Caenorhabditis elegans: one gene and its partner. The protein of the gene in region 1 interacts with the protein of each later gene in a pairwise test. Each region holds a gene or a part of one and is shown on either strand. Other genes may lie near its edges.

Region 1 (8,035 bases):
ACCAATCAGCGCTCCGAACTCACCGGTTTCATCAGAATGTGAGTTCTTCTGGGGTCGAAAATAGTGTGGAACTCGTCAACACAAAATGCTCAATGAGCTCTATCTCTCGGCTCAAAGAGGCATTAGCTCAAATTAAATAAAAAATTTGATTTCGCCATAAAATTTGCTACTGATTTGACCCCCATATCGACAACTTCAAAATTTTAGAAATCGACGTCCCAAAATGCTCATCGAGCTCTATCTCGGCTCAAAGTGACGTTAGCTCAAATTTGATAAAAAATTTGAATTTGCGATAAATTTTGCTACTGATTTGACCCCCATATTGATATTTTTGAAATTTTGGAATTTGACAACACCAAATGCTCATTTTGAAAAATCGATTTTCTAGGCCTCAAAATAGGCTTATTTTGAGTTAAAAAACATTTTTAAAGCCTAAAAGCTTAAAAGCTTAAAATATTTGTAGTCCCGACAATTTTTAGACAGTTTTAAAAATGAGTCCCAGTGGCGCAGTATGTTAGAGGCGCGTTTACCACGCACAGGTCCAAAGTTCGAGTCCCACTGCGGTCAATAATTTTTATTTTTATTGTGATTCTTAATAAAACATTCCAGAACCACTGCCGAACGCTTTCCCGCTCAGCCCTCTTCAACCCAGCCCGGCAGACTGACCCCCCGGCACTCGGCGATGTTCAACTGTGCTCGTGTTACGGTGACCGGTGTAATTCTACAATAATGACGTCATCATCAATATTTATCGTCTTTTTATTAGTTTTTCTACATCGGTTATTGTATTGAAAAAGATTTTCTAAAAAATTTTTTTTTTGTGAAAAAAATTGCAATTTTTTTTTGAATTTATTGATTTTTACATGTCTTTCTTTGGATTTTTTTTTTGAAATATGATCTCCGTTTCTCTAGATGCCCATTTTTATGTTGGATATATGTATTACGGGTTTTTATATAAATATATATATATATTGGAAACACCAAACATTATTGGTTTTTTTTTTTGCTATTCTAACTGTAAGTTTTATTGCAAAAAGTGAATAAATTTTTACGTTCTTTTTTCTGAAAATTGTTTTATTTAAAAAAAAACAAAAAAACAAAAAAATTCAAAGATTTTGTCCAAATGGCTCAGTGGGATTTTCGCCGAACAAACTAAAACTACGAGAAAAAGGTGAAAATTGAGTTTTAAAACTTTAATTTATGAAAAATCTAAAAATTTGTGAGTTTTTCGCATATAAAAACTTAAAATTTAACTTAAAACCGTGATTTCTTATAATTTTCATCATTTTTCTGAATTTTTGAAAAGTTCGGTACAAGTGGCTCAGTGGGATTTTCGCCGACTACCAATCACAAGACCGGGGTTCGAGGCCGCGCTGAGGTCAAAAATTTTTGTAGTGGTTTTTTAACGTTTTTTGACAATTCAACTACGTAGAGTCCAAATTTTTAAGTGTTAGAAAACCAAAAACTACAAGAAAATGGTGAAAATTAAGTTTCAAAATTTCAATTTTAAAAAAGTCTAAAACTAGAGCTTTTTACATATAAAAACTTAAAATTTAACTTAAAACCGTGATTTCTTATAATTTTCATCGTTTTTCTGAATTTTCGAAAATTTTGTCCAAGTGGCGCAGTGGGATTTTCGCCGACTACCAATCACAAGACCGGGGTTCGAGACCGCACTGTGGCACAATTTTTTTATTGTGATTTTTAAACGGTTTTCGGATAATTCCACCATGCGGAATCCGAATTTTCAAGTTTTAGAACACAAAAACTACGAGAACATTATGAAAATTGAATTTTAAACTTTAATTTTTTTAAAAATCTAAAATTTGTGAGTTTTTCACATATAAAAAATTAAAATTTAACTTAAAACCGTGATTTCTTATAATTTCCATCGTTTTTCTGAATTTTCGAAAATTGTGTCCAAGTGGTGCAGTGGGATTTTCGCCGACTACCAATCATACCTCCGGGGTTCGAGTCCCCGCTGTGGTAAAAAATTTTTATTTTGATTTTTAAATGGTTTTCGGATAATTCCACCATGCGGAATCCGAATTTTCAAGTTTTAGAACACAAAAACTACGAGAACATGGTGAAAATTGAATTTTAAACTTTAATTTTTTTTAAAATCTAAAATTTGTGAGTTTTTCACATATAAAAATTTAAAATTTAACTTAAAACCGTGATTTCTTATAATTTCCATCGTTTTTCTGAATTTTCAAAAAAATGTGTCCAAGTGGCGCAGTGGGATTTTCGCCGACTACCAATCACACCTCCGGGGTTCGAGCCCCCAGCGTGGTCGAATTTTTTTGTATCTTTTGTATTTTTCTCCAAACAAGTTAATCATGCAAACTTCATATGTTTTTCACCTGAAAATTGCCAAATTTTCTGCACTATATTCAAATTTATTAGCATTTTTTCTAGAATGTACACGTGGAAATCACTACTAAATTATGGTAAATAGCGTAGCAAATCATCATCAAATCAAATACTAAAAGATTCTCCGCATCCACACGTTCCTTTAATATTAGGATTTCGGAAAACGAATTCCGACGATAGCTTATCGGTGACGTAATCCATTTCTGAGCCGAGTAGCGAGAGCTGAGCTTTTGGTTCGATCCACACTTTGATTCCGTCCTGGAAAATGGGAAAAATTGGGGGATTTTTCATCGAAATTAGTGAAAATCCGGGTTTTTTGTGATAAATTTGAGCTAAAAATCCAGATTTTGAGGCAATTTCTACCTGCTCAACTTCCTCGTCAAATTTCTGCTTATCCTTTGCATATTCCAGTGTATATGTTAACCCATTACAGCCTTTTTGTCGAACTCCGATCTGAAAAAATTAAAAATTTCATCATTTCCGGCGGCGCAAAAATCGAAAAATCGAAAAATCGACGGAAAAAACGAACTTTCAACGCATTTGCATCATTCTGTTGAGCCAATAACACGCGTATTCTGCTGACGGCTTCGTTGGTAAGTGTGAGAGCCGCTCTGAAACTTTTTCGGGGTGAAAATTGGCAGATTTCCGGGAAAATTCAGAATTACCTCGTTTGTCGGACTTTTAGCGCGCCTTTTATGACTTTTGCAGTTGCTCCACCGAATTTTGACATCGGAAAATTGAAAATTTAGTCGAAAAATGAGTAAAATAGCGAAAATTCCAGAAATAAAATGAAAAAAAAAAAAAAAGTGACAACGTTGCTCCGAAATCCCGGCCACGCGTGTAGTTTACCGTAAATCCAAACAAGAAATTTTTTGTCAAAATTGCCGAAATCAAGCGATTTTTAAGCTTTTTTTCTGTAAATTTTTTACGAAAATATGAAAAAATCAACGTTTTCATGCTATTATTTATTTTTCCCCTGTAAAAAACCTTTGAAATCATCGAAAAACCCTTAAAATCCAATAAAAACCCAAACACAACGACACTCCGCTCACCTCCCACCGCGTGTTGTTTACCGTAAATCCACACACAAGAGCAATTGTGCAAAAAAAAAAAACCCCGTCCAACCGGAAATTGTCCCAAAATTCTTCATTTTCTATCGATTTTCTTGCATTTTTTGTGTTTTTTGTGAATTTCAGGCTCAACATTTCGAAAAACACGGTTAAATTTTAGGGAAACCGCTCCGAAATTCGGTTTTTTTCGCTAAAAAAAAAGAGAAAAAAAAGAAAAAAAAAAATAAAATCTAAATTTTCAGGCTCCGAAATGGCTGCCACTATAACAGATGACATTGTGGCGACAGTTTTGGAGTCAATTGAGGAAAAGTCGTACGAAGATGAGAAGGAGAAGGCTGGAATGATTAAAGATGAAGCTAATCAGTTTTTTAAGGGTATTTTTTGGAAAAAAACCGATTTTTTGATGAATTTTAAAGTATTTTCCTGCTGCAGATCAAGTGTACGACGTGGCCGCCGACCTCTACTCTGTCGCAATTGAGATTCATCCGACGGCGGTTCTTTACGGAAACCGTGCACAGGCCTATCTGAAGAAAGAGCTCTACGGAAGTGCTCTTGAGGATGCGGACAACGCGATTGCAATTGATCCGTCATATGTGAAGGGATTCTATAGAAGAGCTACCGCCAATATGGCTCTGGGGCGGTTTAAAAAGGCGTTGACCGATTATCAGGCGGTTGTTAAGGTGAAAATTCACTTTTTTTGGGTGTTGAAGAGCGGAAAAAACGGCGGTTTAGAAACTATTTTTCACCCGGTTTAAGAGAAAATTTCGAAAAAATATATCAATTTTCACCTCCAGAAAGTCGGAAAACGCGAAAAATTTGAAATTTTGCTTTTTCAATTTTGGGCGCTGCTAAGACTACAAACTACAAGATTTTGGGCGCTGCTAATTCAATTTTGGGCGCTGCTTAGACTACAAACTACAATATTTTGGGCGCTGCTTAGACTACAAACTACAAGATTTTGGGCGCTGCTAATTCAATTTTGGGCGCTGCTTAGACTACAAACTACAAGTTTTGGGCGCTGCTAATTCAATTTTGGGCGCTGTTAGACTACAAACTACAATATTTTGGGCGCTGCTAATTTAATTTTGGGCGCTGCTTAAACTACAAACTACAAGTTTTGGGCGCTGCTAATTCAATTTTGGGCGCTGCTGACAGCTTTCGGCCGAAAAAATTGAAAAGAAATCGATATTTATGAAAAAAAAAACCAATTTTTATGAGAAAAACGTGATTTTTGATAATTTTTCTCTCAAATTTAGTATAATTTCAAAAATTCCCGTATTTTTCCCCGAAAAAATTTCCATTTTTTTGCAGGTTTGCCCCAACGACAAAGACGCTCGCGCAAAATTCGACGAATGCTCGAAAATCGTCCGCCGACAGAAGTTTGAAGCCGCAATTTCGACGGATCACGACAAGAAAACCGTCGCCGAGACTCTTGATATTAATGCAATGGCTATTGAGGATTCGTATGATGGTCCACGGCTGGAAGATAAAGTACGGGTGGAAAATGGCTGTGAAAATCGATTTTTAGACGGAAAATTGATGTAAAACCGGCAATTTTGACCCCGAAATTCAATTTTCAGAGCGGAAATTGCGATTTTCGGTGGAAAACTGATGTAAAAATCAATTTTTCATAGAAATTTGATCTAAAAAACGGTCCAAAAACATAAATTTTTGTGAAAATCGATCTAAAAATACGTTTTTCAAGGGTAATAGGCCAGAAATTCGAATTTTTTTGCGAAAATTAGTCCAAAAAATCGATTTTTCAAGGGAAAAGTGGTCCTGAAACTATTTTTCATAAAAATTAATTTGAAAATCTATTTTTCACTGCAATTTTAACCCAAAAATCGATTTTTCACAAAAAAAAACTAGCATTTCCGGTCAGAAAACGTGCAAATTTCCAATCTTTTTTGGATTTTCTGGAATTTTCATTAAAAAATTGGTCCAAAAATCTATTTTTCATAGAAATTTAGTCCAAAAGTCAATTTTTCACGAAAAATTCGCCTGAAAATCATTTTTTTTTCATAGAAATTTAGTCTAAAAATCGATTTTCCGCAAAAAATACAGAAAAAAAGTGAATTTTTCGTTAAAAAAAAGCGAAAAATTGAGTTTTTTCCCGTTTTTTCCGTAAAAAACCGCAAAAATGATCAAAATCCTTTTCAGATAACCAAGGAATTCGTGTTGCAACTCATCAAAACGTTCAAAAATCAGCAAAAATTGCACAAAAAGTACGCGTTCAAGATGCTCCTCGAGTTTTATAATTATGTCAAATCACTGCCAACAATGGTTGAAATTACGGTGCCAACTGGCAAGAAATTCACGATTTGCGGTGATGTTCACGGACAATTCTACGATTTGTGCAATATTTTCGAGATTAATGGATATCCATCGGAGACTAATCCATATGTACGGGGAAAGCGCTGAAAAATGAGAGATTTTGACTGAAAATCCGGGAAAATTGAGGAATTTTGAGCTAAAATTCATAAAAATTTCCAATTTTTGACCGAAAATCATGAAAATAGGCAAATTTTGTGATATAATCATGTTTTCTAGTGAAAAACCTCTAAAAATTGAATTTTTTTGCAGAAATTATTGAAATAAGCTCAATAAATCGACATTTTGATTGAAATTCGTGAAAAAATTTCAAACATTAAAACCAAAACAGCTGAAAATTGAGGAATTTTCACCAAAAATGCGGATTTTCAGATAAAAACCCTGAAATGATTTTTTTTTTCAAAGTTTTGGCAGAAGTCATTGAAAAATTCCGAATTTTTAGCAAAAAGCAAAAAAATTGCCAATTTTTGACTTTAAATTTATGAAAAATGCTCGATTTTTTTACTAAAAACCGCCTGAAAGCCAAAATTTTGTCAAAAATCTTGAAAAAGTCGAATTTTCTACAAAAAACCATCAAAATTTCGAAATTTTGACTTAAAAATCAATGCAAAATATTTTTTTTTCACTAAAAAGCTGAAAAATGCTCTTTTTTAATGCTCGAAATTTTGGCTAAAATTCATTTTAAAAAATCCTGATTTTCACCAAAAATTGGCAATTTTTCATCAAAAAACTTGAAAAAATTTCAATTTTTTGCTGAAATTGCAGAAATACCACAAAAATTACCAAATTTTGACTCTAAAAATCACGAAAACACCTAATTTTCACCCCAAAAACCCCCGAAAATGGCCAAATTTTCACTTAAAATATGTGAAAAATGCTCAAAAAATGGCCAAATTTTCAGCTTTTCAACGGTGATTTCGTGGATCGTGGCTCATTTTCCGTTGAAACAATTTTCACAATGATTGGCTTCAAACTTCTATACCCAAATCATTTCTTTATGTCACGTGGAAATCACGAATCTGACGTCATGAATAAAATGTACGGATTTGAGGGTGAAGTTAAGGCGAAATATACTCAACAAATGTGTGATATGTTTACGGAGACGTTCTGCTGGTTACCATTGTGCCATTTGATTAATGAGAAGATTTTTGTGAGTTTCTTCACGTGAAAAATGGCCTGGAAATCTGGAAAATTTGAGGAAAATGGCCCAGAAATCGCTGAAATCCTGGATTTTTCATTTCTGGGCGCTGCTAATTTTCTGGACGCTGCTAATTTTTTGGTCACTGCTAATTATTTGGTCGCTGCTAATTTTTTGGGCGCTGCTAATTATTTGGTCGCTGCTAATTTTTTGGTCGCTGCTAATTATTTGGTCGCTGCTAATTTTTTGGTCACTGCTAATTATTTGGTCGCTGCTAATTTTTTGGGCGCTGCTAATTATTTGGTCGCTGCTAATTTTTTGGTCGCTGCTAATTATTTGGTCGCTGCTAATTTTCTGGGCGCTGCTAATTTTTTTGGTCGCTGCTAATTTTCTGGTCGCTGCTAATTTTCTGGTCGCTGCTAATTTTCTGGGCGCTGCTAATTTTTTTGGTCGCTGCTAAATTTTTGGGCGCTGCTAAATTTTTGGGCGCTGCTAATTTTCTGGGCGCTGCTAATTTTTTGGGCGCTGCTAATTTTTTGGTCGCTGCTAATTATTTGGTCGCTGCTAATTTTTTGGGCGCTGCTAATTTTTTGGTCGCTGCTAATTATTTGGTCGCTGCTAATTTTTTGGGCGCTGCTAATTTTTTGGTCGCTGCTAATTATTTGGTCGCTGCTAATTATTTGGTCGCTGCTAATTTTCTGGTCGCTGCTAATTTTTTGGGCGCTGCTAATTTTTGGGCGCTGCTAATTTTCTGGTCGCTGCTAATTTTTTGGGCGCTGCTAATTTTTGGGCGCTGCTAATTTTCTGGTCGCTGCTAATTTTCTGGTCGCTGCTAATTTTTTGGGCGCTGCTAATTTTTGGGCGCTGCTAATTTTTTGGTTGCTGCTAATTTTCTGGGCGCTGCTAATTTTTGGGCGCTGCTAATTTTTTGGTCGCTGCTAATTATTTGGTCGCTGCTAATTTTCTGGTCGCTGCTAATTTTTTGGGCGCTGCTAATTTTTGGGCGCTGCTAATTTTCTGGTCGCTGCTAATTTTCTGGGCGCTGCTAATTTTTTGGTCGCTGCTAATTTTTTGGTCGCTGCTAATTTTTGGGCGCTGCTAATTTTCTGGTCGCTGCTAATTT
Region 2 (8,691 bases), on another chromosome or scaffold:
CATCTCATTCCTTTTTTTCTTTTCTTATTTCACGTTTTTACCTTCTCCACTCCCCTTCCTCTCTCTCTCTCGAAATTTTGTGCTATATTCCCCGTACTAGGTGGTACAACGTCACAGTTTCTCTGTTCACCCATCCCCTTCAATATTCCTTCATTTTTCACAAAAACAAGCAGCTTCTGTCATTTTTCGCATTTTTATTCTTTGTTGCTAACCTGTCCTATGTAGATAAAACAGGAAGAATGAAGTTCAGGAATAAAATATTAACCAAAGAACCTGTTTTGTAGTTGGGAATATTTAGAGCAGAACTTGTGCTCAACGTTTGCTGAAAAATTTAAAAGTGATTTAGAAGTTGGCAAAGCCTGTCTAAAGTAGACCATGTTCAAGTTTTGCACGACCAGTTTTAAGCACGGTATAAACAGTGCCAGGCTCTGGGTACAGCATATTTTTAAGCGCAAGTAAATTGAACGATTTTTCAGTTACATACGTACGCCTGCCTACTGCCTATTTTCTCCATTTTGGATGTAAAATTAGGTGTTTTGAGAATGAAGACAGTATTCATTTGTTGAAACTTCGAAAATTATTTATACAAAATTCCTGACTGTTGGCAAGCATTTTTGCGCAAACATGTTTTATTTCAAAACTTCCTATTTTGGAAAGTATTTTTTTAAACATTAACCACATTCATTCAGCACGATTATATGGTTCGCATGTGATATTATTTTGTATTCGGTTGCGATTTATTTATTTTTCGAGATTTATTTTACAAAAAAGTTTTATCGTCTGCAAAAATAATTTGTTTGAAAATGACAATAATTATTAATTAGATAAAAAACAGTTATCAATTTTTCAATTTGCTATTTAAATGTTCAAATTTGTTTTCCGAGCCATTTTATTTCAAAATTCGAAAAAAAACCCGTGCAAAACTCGTTATCACTGAGCAATAATGACAGTATTTATTGAAAAAAAATGTTTTGTGGATTTTTGCTTTGCTCGGTCTGAGATCTACCTAGAAATGCAATACAAAGGAATAATGATTCACTTTTCTTCCTGTATTGGTTTTCACCAGATATAAATTCACAGGGTATTTCAACAATTTTCATTTTTCTCTGAAAAATTTCAAAAAATTTGCACAATCTTTTAAAGTCTGAATTAGTATCAAAAATTGAATACTTAACTGAAAAATTGTAAATTTCAAAAAAGCCAGTTACATATATTCATTTTTCCAGGTCTTGAAATTGTTCTACGTATCTATTAAAATGCAAACACTGGATTTCCTAATCCCTTTTAAAGGTGAAGGTAGGGTCAGTTGTTTTTTTGTCTACATGCATTTTTAAAAATTCAGAATGGACGAATTTTAAGATAAATCACTTGAAAATTTTTAGATTTTCAAAATTTTGCAGGCAAATTTTTGGTAATTTGGAAAATTTACAATACATTTTAACTATTTAACAAATTTAGGGCAATGCCCAAAACACAATTGGAAAACAACAATTTTAGGTAAAAGATTTTTTGTGCAACTTCTAAAATTATGAGTAACATTACCTTACCCAATTTTTCAATATAAGTTTTTTGGAGTTAACTTCAAAAAATTCCCTACTGGGGATACCGAATCTTTATTGTAAGGTACGGTAGGATGTGTCTTTCCAAAACATTTAGTTTCTTTTCCAAATTTTTTTTCTGAGCAACCACATGATTTCTCAATCCTCCCGTTTTTTTCCCTCAACAACTGCTCACGTGACAGTCCTCAGATTGTGTTCAAAACTAGCCCCCTCCAGTTGCCCTTTTGTCTCGTATTAGTCCTGACACCTCTATCCTTCCTCAGCTGTCTCGCCGTCTCACTCTCGCAACATAGTGTCCGTAGGGGTCACGTGTCTGCGTGTGTGTGTCTTTTGTGCACACTGGTTATGAACACTTGCCGACTGTTAGAACACCGGATTGCACGCGCAAAACAGTTTTCAAATGGTCTCCAGTTTTTTAGGCCTAATTCTTTTTTCATGCTATGAAATTCGTTGTTTTTCCTATTTTTTCGAAGTTTTTTTTTAAATTGAAAGCATTAGTTGAAAAAAAGGAACTAAAGTTAATAGAATTTTAGGAAGACCTCGAAAAGATACTAATCAATTTACTTTCTCTCTGCCTCTCCAAATAAATTTCTTTTCTCCGCCAAAACGCAGCTGTTTTCTTTCTGCCCTCTAATCGTTCCGAGCCTTCTATCAAATAATTGATAAGAGTATATAACGTTCGAGATAGAAACACCGTTCTGATAACTTTTTAAAGCATCCCCATTCCAACAAAAAAAATCGTTTCCTCACATGATTATGTTTCACATCGATTTTTGTTGTTGTGTTGTTGTTTCACTGTTTGATTCTCGTTTGTTCTTGTTTGTACTCTACTCTTGCAGGGCATGTGTGTCGGCCTGTCAAAACTAGGGTTCGGCCCGCTGCCCGTTCTTATCGCGCTCATCTTCTTCGTGCAGTCATGTAAGTTTTTTTTGTGACAAAAGAAAGTGATAGAATAACTTGAAAATTAAAAAGACAAATTGTCCTGCTATTCGACAACAATGTTTTTTTTTAAATTTAAATTGCAACTTCTGTTATTTAGCAAATATTTTTTTTTCTAAAGACACCAGGTTAATTTAGAGTATTTCGTTTTTAGCATTGCATCAAAATTTCGTTTTCAAAACTAGAACTATTTTTTGCTATTTCGCAGTTATTTTACTATAAAACCGTTCACAAAGTCATCAATGATTTTGGATATCTCGTGAAACAAGTCAAAATGCATTGGAAGAAAAATTAAATTAAATTTATTAATATATTATTTTTAAAAAAATTCAAAATTCATCTTCAACAAATATAGTTTATGGGGTTATTCAAGTAGTGTCGGAAAATTACAAGGTGTAAAAAAAATGACGTCACAACTGTGTTAACATACCTTGTTTTTAATGTATTTTAACACAGTTGTGACGTTATTTTTCTAGACTTTTTAATTTTCCGGCACTACTTGAACAACCCCATAGATTATTTTTTTTTTAAAGACGAATTTAGAAAATTTTTAAATGGTATATAAATAAATTAAAAAAAAAGGATACACACTATGCATTTCCTATACGGTTTCAAATTCACATTGACAAATTACTTCCAAACAGGCCTAACTATGTACATATGTATATCAACTTTCAGTTTTCGTCTACACTATCGCAGTGCTCAAACACGACGTCGATCCAATCTTCCCGTACCTCTCGTCGGCCGCCGACAAACGTCCCCAATCATGCATCTTTGCCATCGGAGCCAACATCAGCAGTGTTCTGCTTGCCCTTGTGGTCTTTGTGAGATATCGCCAGTTGAGGGGCATTTTCGCATTCTATGATGAGGCCAACCTGCAGGCATGGAACTGGCGGCAAAAGTGGTTTGGATACATTGCCGCGCTGGGATTGTTCTTTGTGGCAAATGTTCAGGTAGTTAATTTTGAATAAGTTTAAATTTTAATTCGGCAAAGCCGAAAAAAAAACGTTTTGTCAATGATGTAGAAATTTATATGAATTGTAGCAAAAAATGTACTTGATTTGATGATTTATAGCAATTGATAGGGTTCTGGTAAATGAATAATTTATCAGGGTTGTAGTTTGAAATCCAGTCGACTTTCTAACTGTTAAGAATCAGATCAGAGGTGGGCGGCAAACAAAGTGCCAATTTGCCGAATTTACCCGTCTTATTAATAATTTCCCTAAACATTTCCGGGAAATCTGATATCCGGCAAACGGCAAATTGGCAATTTGCCGAAAATGAAAATTTCCGGTAAATCGGCAAACCGGCAATTTGCCGCCCACCCCCAAATCAGATATAAAAAATGTAATCAGAAAATTAATTATGACGACTTTCAGAATTTTTTTAATTCAAATAAACTAAACTATTGTCACGTGATCGACATTTGGCTCAAGCTTCTTGCCCAAGTCTAATCCAATTTTTGCCAAACTTCTGCCCAAGATTAAAATAAAACAAGACAAGTTTGAGCAAAAGTTTGGCAAGAGATGGGTGAAATTTGGACTAAACTTTGGCGCAGAATAAATCAATGTTTAGCTAAAGTCTTGCCCGACTTTTGTCCAAGTTTAGCTAACTATCGATTCAAGCTAATATTTTTTGGGCCAAATTTAGACAAGAAGCTGAAGCCAAATGCCGAGTGTACAGTGACCCTTTTTACTTTGGCAGCGTTTAATTCACCGAACCCAGAGCGATTTACCCATCGGCTCTTCTCCAGTTCAAACTTGCCACTGAAATCCGCCACAACAACTAGAATGTTACAACAAACGCTGAAAAAAAACCCGAACGAGAGAAAAGTCCGAACGGAATTTCTCCTAATAATTTTTACTTTTCAGGAAACCGCCATCATCCCGGTTCACATGTCCTCCGCCGTTGCCTCATTTGGTGGATTCAGCATCTACATGATCTTCCAGTGCTACCTTACGCACCGAGTCACACCGACAATCACACTGAGGACTGTTTTCTATTACCGTGTGATCTTCACTATCTTCTCCGTGATTTGCTTCTGCTGCTGTAAGTTTCGACCTTTGCACTCGGAATTTTTTTTTTTTCTGAAGAGATTGATCGCATTCTTGATGATAACATCTAGTTGTTCCCTGTAGTGGATTTAAAATACGAATTGGTTGATAATTTAACAAGATTACGCTACATAGAATCGACAAATGTTAAAGGAAGTTGCGCATGATCTTTGAAGTCTTCCTTGGTTAAAGTCTAAACTAGCTCACCAATCGGATATATAAAAAATTGTGCAACATTTTAGCGATGTATCATAAATGATCTCAATGATTCATGGCTATGCAAAGAAATTTAAATTTTCAGCATTTGGATTCGGAATCGCTGCTTCCAAAATCTTCCACAAGACGTACCCGGATCTTCCGACGCCCCGTCCCTGGTCCCGTCGTATTTATCAGCCCGTAAGTATTATTGATATTCAGTAAATAATACATTGAATGATAGTCGAAAACTATAAAACCAAAAAAAATATATATTTCCGGGGGCAGCATAGCTCAGTCGGTAGTGGTGGCCGCTAACAATCTGGAGGTTGGCCTGAGTGGTCTAGTGGGTAAGGTGCGCGACTTTCACCCACATGGTGCAGGTTCAATCCCCACGCCGGTCACTCTTGTCTCCGCTTTGACCGGTGCGTTGGTCGCCTGATCATTATGATGTATGATACCCAAATAAAGTCGTGGTTAATAGACGGGCCGGAGGTCCGTACAGAAAAAAAAACTCGGCGCTGGGTGAATAATATCTGAAGTGCATCGATCAGTTACGAGTCTGGTGATTAATGGGGGCGTCGTCGTCGCTCAGATCCCCCCGACCTAGTCGGGCCAACACCCATTAGCTCTCAACGCGCGCACGTTGTACAATTATTATTATATATTAACAATCTGGAGGTCACAAGTTCAAGTCCGGCCTCACCCCCTGGGTTTACCCAGCCTCTATTGGGAAGTGCAGCAATCCACGACTGGATTATTGTCCACAGTCCCCGGCTAGGACGTGGCTTAAATTATAGCCCAGGGGGAGCACCAGTGTACCTGACTTATAGATCCGCAGTGCATAGCGCTTGTAGAACGGATCGTCATTTAATCTTTTTTTTTTTAAATATTTCATTTAAACAGACTTTCTGTTGAAGGAACCACTACAATCTTGTTGGAATCTTGATGTCAGCTATAAAATTGTTTCATGGGAAATTTCAAATGCTCTTTTTTTTTTAAACTCACTTGCAGTAGCATCTATTCCCTCAATCCCCACCAGCAAATTCGCAGAATGGGTAATTCCTGGTCTCCCGAATTGAATTCCTGGAAAAAATATTTGTTTTGTATTTTAGGAACAATGTACCTTAAAAAATCAGTTTATAGTCTGGTCTCACACAAGGCAGAATGAGTTAAAAAAAACCCCTTGAAGTTCTTAGAAAACAATTTTTCAAATTTCCAGGGCTACGAGCTGCACCAGATCTCGGCGCTCGCTGAATGGGGATGTGCCATCTCACAGATCTTCTTCATACAGTCGTTTGGGCCGGAGTTTGAGGACATCTCCCTCGACTATTATCTCAAATCGCACTACGTTCCGCGCGGAGCACTTGAGCAGGAGGAGTATGAAAATGAGTACCAAGGATATGGCATCTAGAAATTATTGCATTCGAATCTTTCTCTTTCTGTTACCGGTGGGCCGTTGACGCAGCTCATTTTCACGTGTTCTACTAGTATTTTGAAATTTCATGACATTTAATTTTGCTGTAACATCTCATGTTTTTTGCATCCCCGTTTTTCTTTCACAAAGATTCCCCAACTACCCAGTTTTTTTAGTGCCTTGTATATCCCATTGAATTGTTTGTTGCAGGTGCTATCAATCAATTAACCATTTATTTTTATAACTTTTTTTTTCATCTTTCTAGGGACACAAGATTTGAATAATTGGAGGAGACAATTCAGAGCAAAAAAGAAAAGACAAAATGTTTTTAAAATGACAACAAAGAGAGAAATGATCGATTCGGGAAAGGGCTGGAGAACAAAAAATAGTGGGTAAAACTATTGCACAATTTTTTGAGGTAATTATGGTAATTCAGAGAAACAGGAAGAGAGAGAGATGAAAATAAGGAAAATTGAAGGAAAAAAGATAGAAAAATGAAATTAGAAAGGAAAAATGAATTTTTTTAATGAGAAAATCTTGATACAAAATTTATAAATCACAAAACTCAAATTTTTCGGGGAAAACTGAATGATGATGATGATGAGAGAAGATAAGATATTTTTAAATATGGAAACTTTAATAACGACGAAAAAAAAACCATAAGTTAATGTGTTCCCATACGACTACCAATGAATACATCAATTAGAGATCAAAAAACTGGAATTTGATTTGTATATTTGAGTTTCTGTTTGGTTTAGAATTCTTCCAATGAATAGCATTGCTGTGCTATTCAATACCTGACACTGATTGACTGGAATTTCTTGGAAACCTGAAAAGTATATAACATCTAATTTAGCTCCTTTAAAAATTCAAATTTACCATTTAAATGCCCTTTACATTTTCCCAACCATGGGCACCTGGTCCGAACTTGTACACCAGTTTCTTCGGATAAAGACCAGTTTTTGGGACTGGAACCAGTATTTGCTTTTCGTAGTAGGTTCTGAAAAAAAGATATGTTTTTAAGCATTAATTTGAATTTTTGACGACAAACCTCATCGCTCGACTGAGCTTTTCATATGTCATTTTTTCATTGTTTTTTCGAGCTCCCCACAGCCGAGCCAGCTTCTCTGACTCCACGATACGGAATACTCCTTCAATCGGGTCTTCCCATCTGGAAACATTAACCATGAGTATTTAATTTTATTTTTACATTTGCTGAAGGAACTCACCTCACAACAGACGGACAAGTTGATGGGTCTTTCAACGCATCTCTGATAAACTCCCACAATTTATTACCCTTCGTGTGTTGCGAACGCTTTCTTGGTTTGCCATCTTTGTTCTTTTTGATTTTCAAGTCACTGCTTTCAGCCGACCTTTCTTCTGGCACTAAAATAGATTGGATATTGAATAAAACATGAGTCTGGAATTTGGCTCTTACCTTCGTATTCGGTGTTGATCGTGCATGAATATTTGAGCATTGGCGACAACTTTGGTTGGATCGGCGCACTGAGAAGCGGTGACGCGGGGTTTAACCGGCTTGATAGCTGATAGTTGACTCCTAATGGACTGAGACTACTGGTCAAGCCTGCTGCAATGCTGGACGCCAAAGATTGATTGAGCGATTGAACGGCGTTGGCAGTTTGCTGGGGTGTGAGAATTGTAGTGTTAAATGTCTGTTGAGAGAGCACTTGAGTTAGACTGCTCAAATTGTTTAGCTGATGTTGCATAACAGGTAGCGGAGCAAGGTGTGGCGTTGGATGTTGAAGAGGAGGCTGAATTGTGCATGTGATACTGCTAATCATTGGTTGTAATCCCAAGGAAGTCATATCAACGATCGTAGGTGGTGCACTGGTTGTCGCAATTTCATCGTCCACAAATGGCCCAATGACAGTATCAAGAGTTGTGTCTTCTGAAACAAAGAGAAAATGAGAAATGATAGAAGAAAAATCGAATAGTGCTCGAAAGTGCAAGACTTTTACTCTGCTCTTCTGATTCCTCGAATCTCTCTATATTCAAAACTCTTGCAATTCGAAATCATAATAATAATTCTAATTCTAATTCACATGAACTGAAAGAAATCAGACATTGCTGCTTTCTCTCTTTCTGCTGAGAAAAATTAAGAATATAATACCAGTGATCAAAAACCAGCACAAGTGCTTCTAAGTGCTGTCCAACCAAATATTAACCACCGAATCTCACAATCTCACCTGAGTTTTCCAACGTCTTTCTGAACTCGTTGAAAATCAAATTTCCAAAGACCGGATCCCTCTCGATGAAGCATCGCTCGCTCATCGTTAGCATTTCTTGACCCGAGAGCATTGCGAACTGAAAATAGCGCATTAAATATTAGGGAGGAGAAAGAGAAGAGAGGGGGGAAAAACGGGAGAAAAGAAGATATGATGTCGAGCTGGTCTTCTAGAGTTATTTAAAAATGACAAAACTAGTCGATCAACAACCACTCTGCTACGTTAATCCTATTGATATCATTATAGCCTGAAGCTCAGTGAAGGAGACGCCTGATATTGGA

Evidence for each region.
Region 2: the proteins of pph-5 (region 1) and C33A11.2 interact in a two-hybrid assay, tested with the Caenorhabditis elegans proteins (one large-scale study listed by BioGRID).

What each region holds. Positions count from the first base shown.
Region 1 is NC_003283.11:19,186,862-19,194,896, forward strand, and holds the start of pph-5 (Serine/threonine-protein phosphatase 5), read left to right. Parts: upstream 1-3,685; 5' UTR 3,686-3,693; coding exon 3,694-3,817; intron 3,818-3,875; coding exon 3,876-4,123; intron 4,124-4,754; coding exon 4,755-4,934; intron 4,935-5,603; coding exon 5,604-5,846; intron 5,847-6,675; coding exon 6,676-6,924; intron 6,925-8,035. Other genes in the region: hot-2 (Homolog of Odr-2 (Two)), read left to right, coding at 1-38, 610-792; Y39B6A.3 (Iron-sulfur cluster assembly 1 homolog, mitochondrial), read right to left, coding at 2,479-2,631, 2,737-2,826, 2,903-2,990, 3,039-3,103.
Region 2 is NC_003284.9:15,363,596-15,372,286, forward strand, and holds C33A11.2 (Aa_trans domain-containing protein), read left to right. Parts: upstream 1-2,396; 5' UTR 2,397-2,401; coding exon 2,402-2,477; intron 2,478-3,176; coding exon 3,177-3,451; intron 3,452-4,369; coding exon 4,370-4,547; intron 4,548-4,853; coding exon 4,854-4,948; intron 4,949-5,079; exon of another isoform or gene 5,080-5,151; intron 5,152-5,969; coding exon 5,970-6,161; 3' UTR 6,162-6,404; downstream 6,405-8,691. Other genes in the region: svh-5 (Ets-domain protein), read right to left, coding at 7,047-7,164, 7,216-7,335, 7,394-7,550, 7,603-8,073, 8,372-8,489.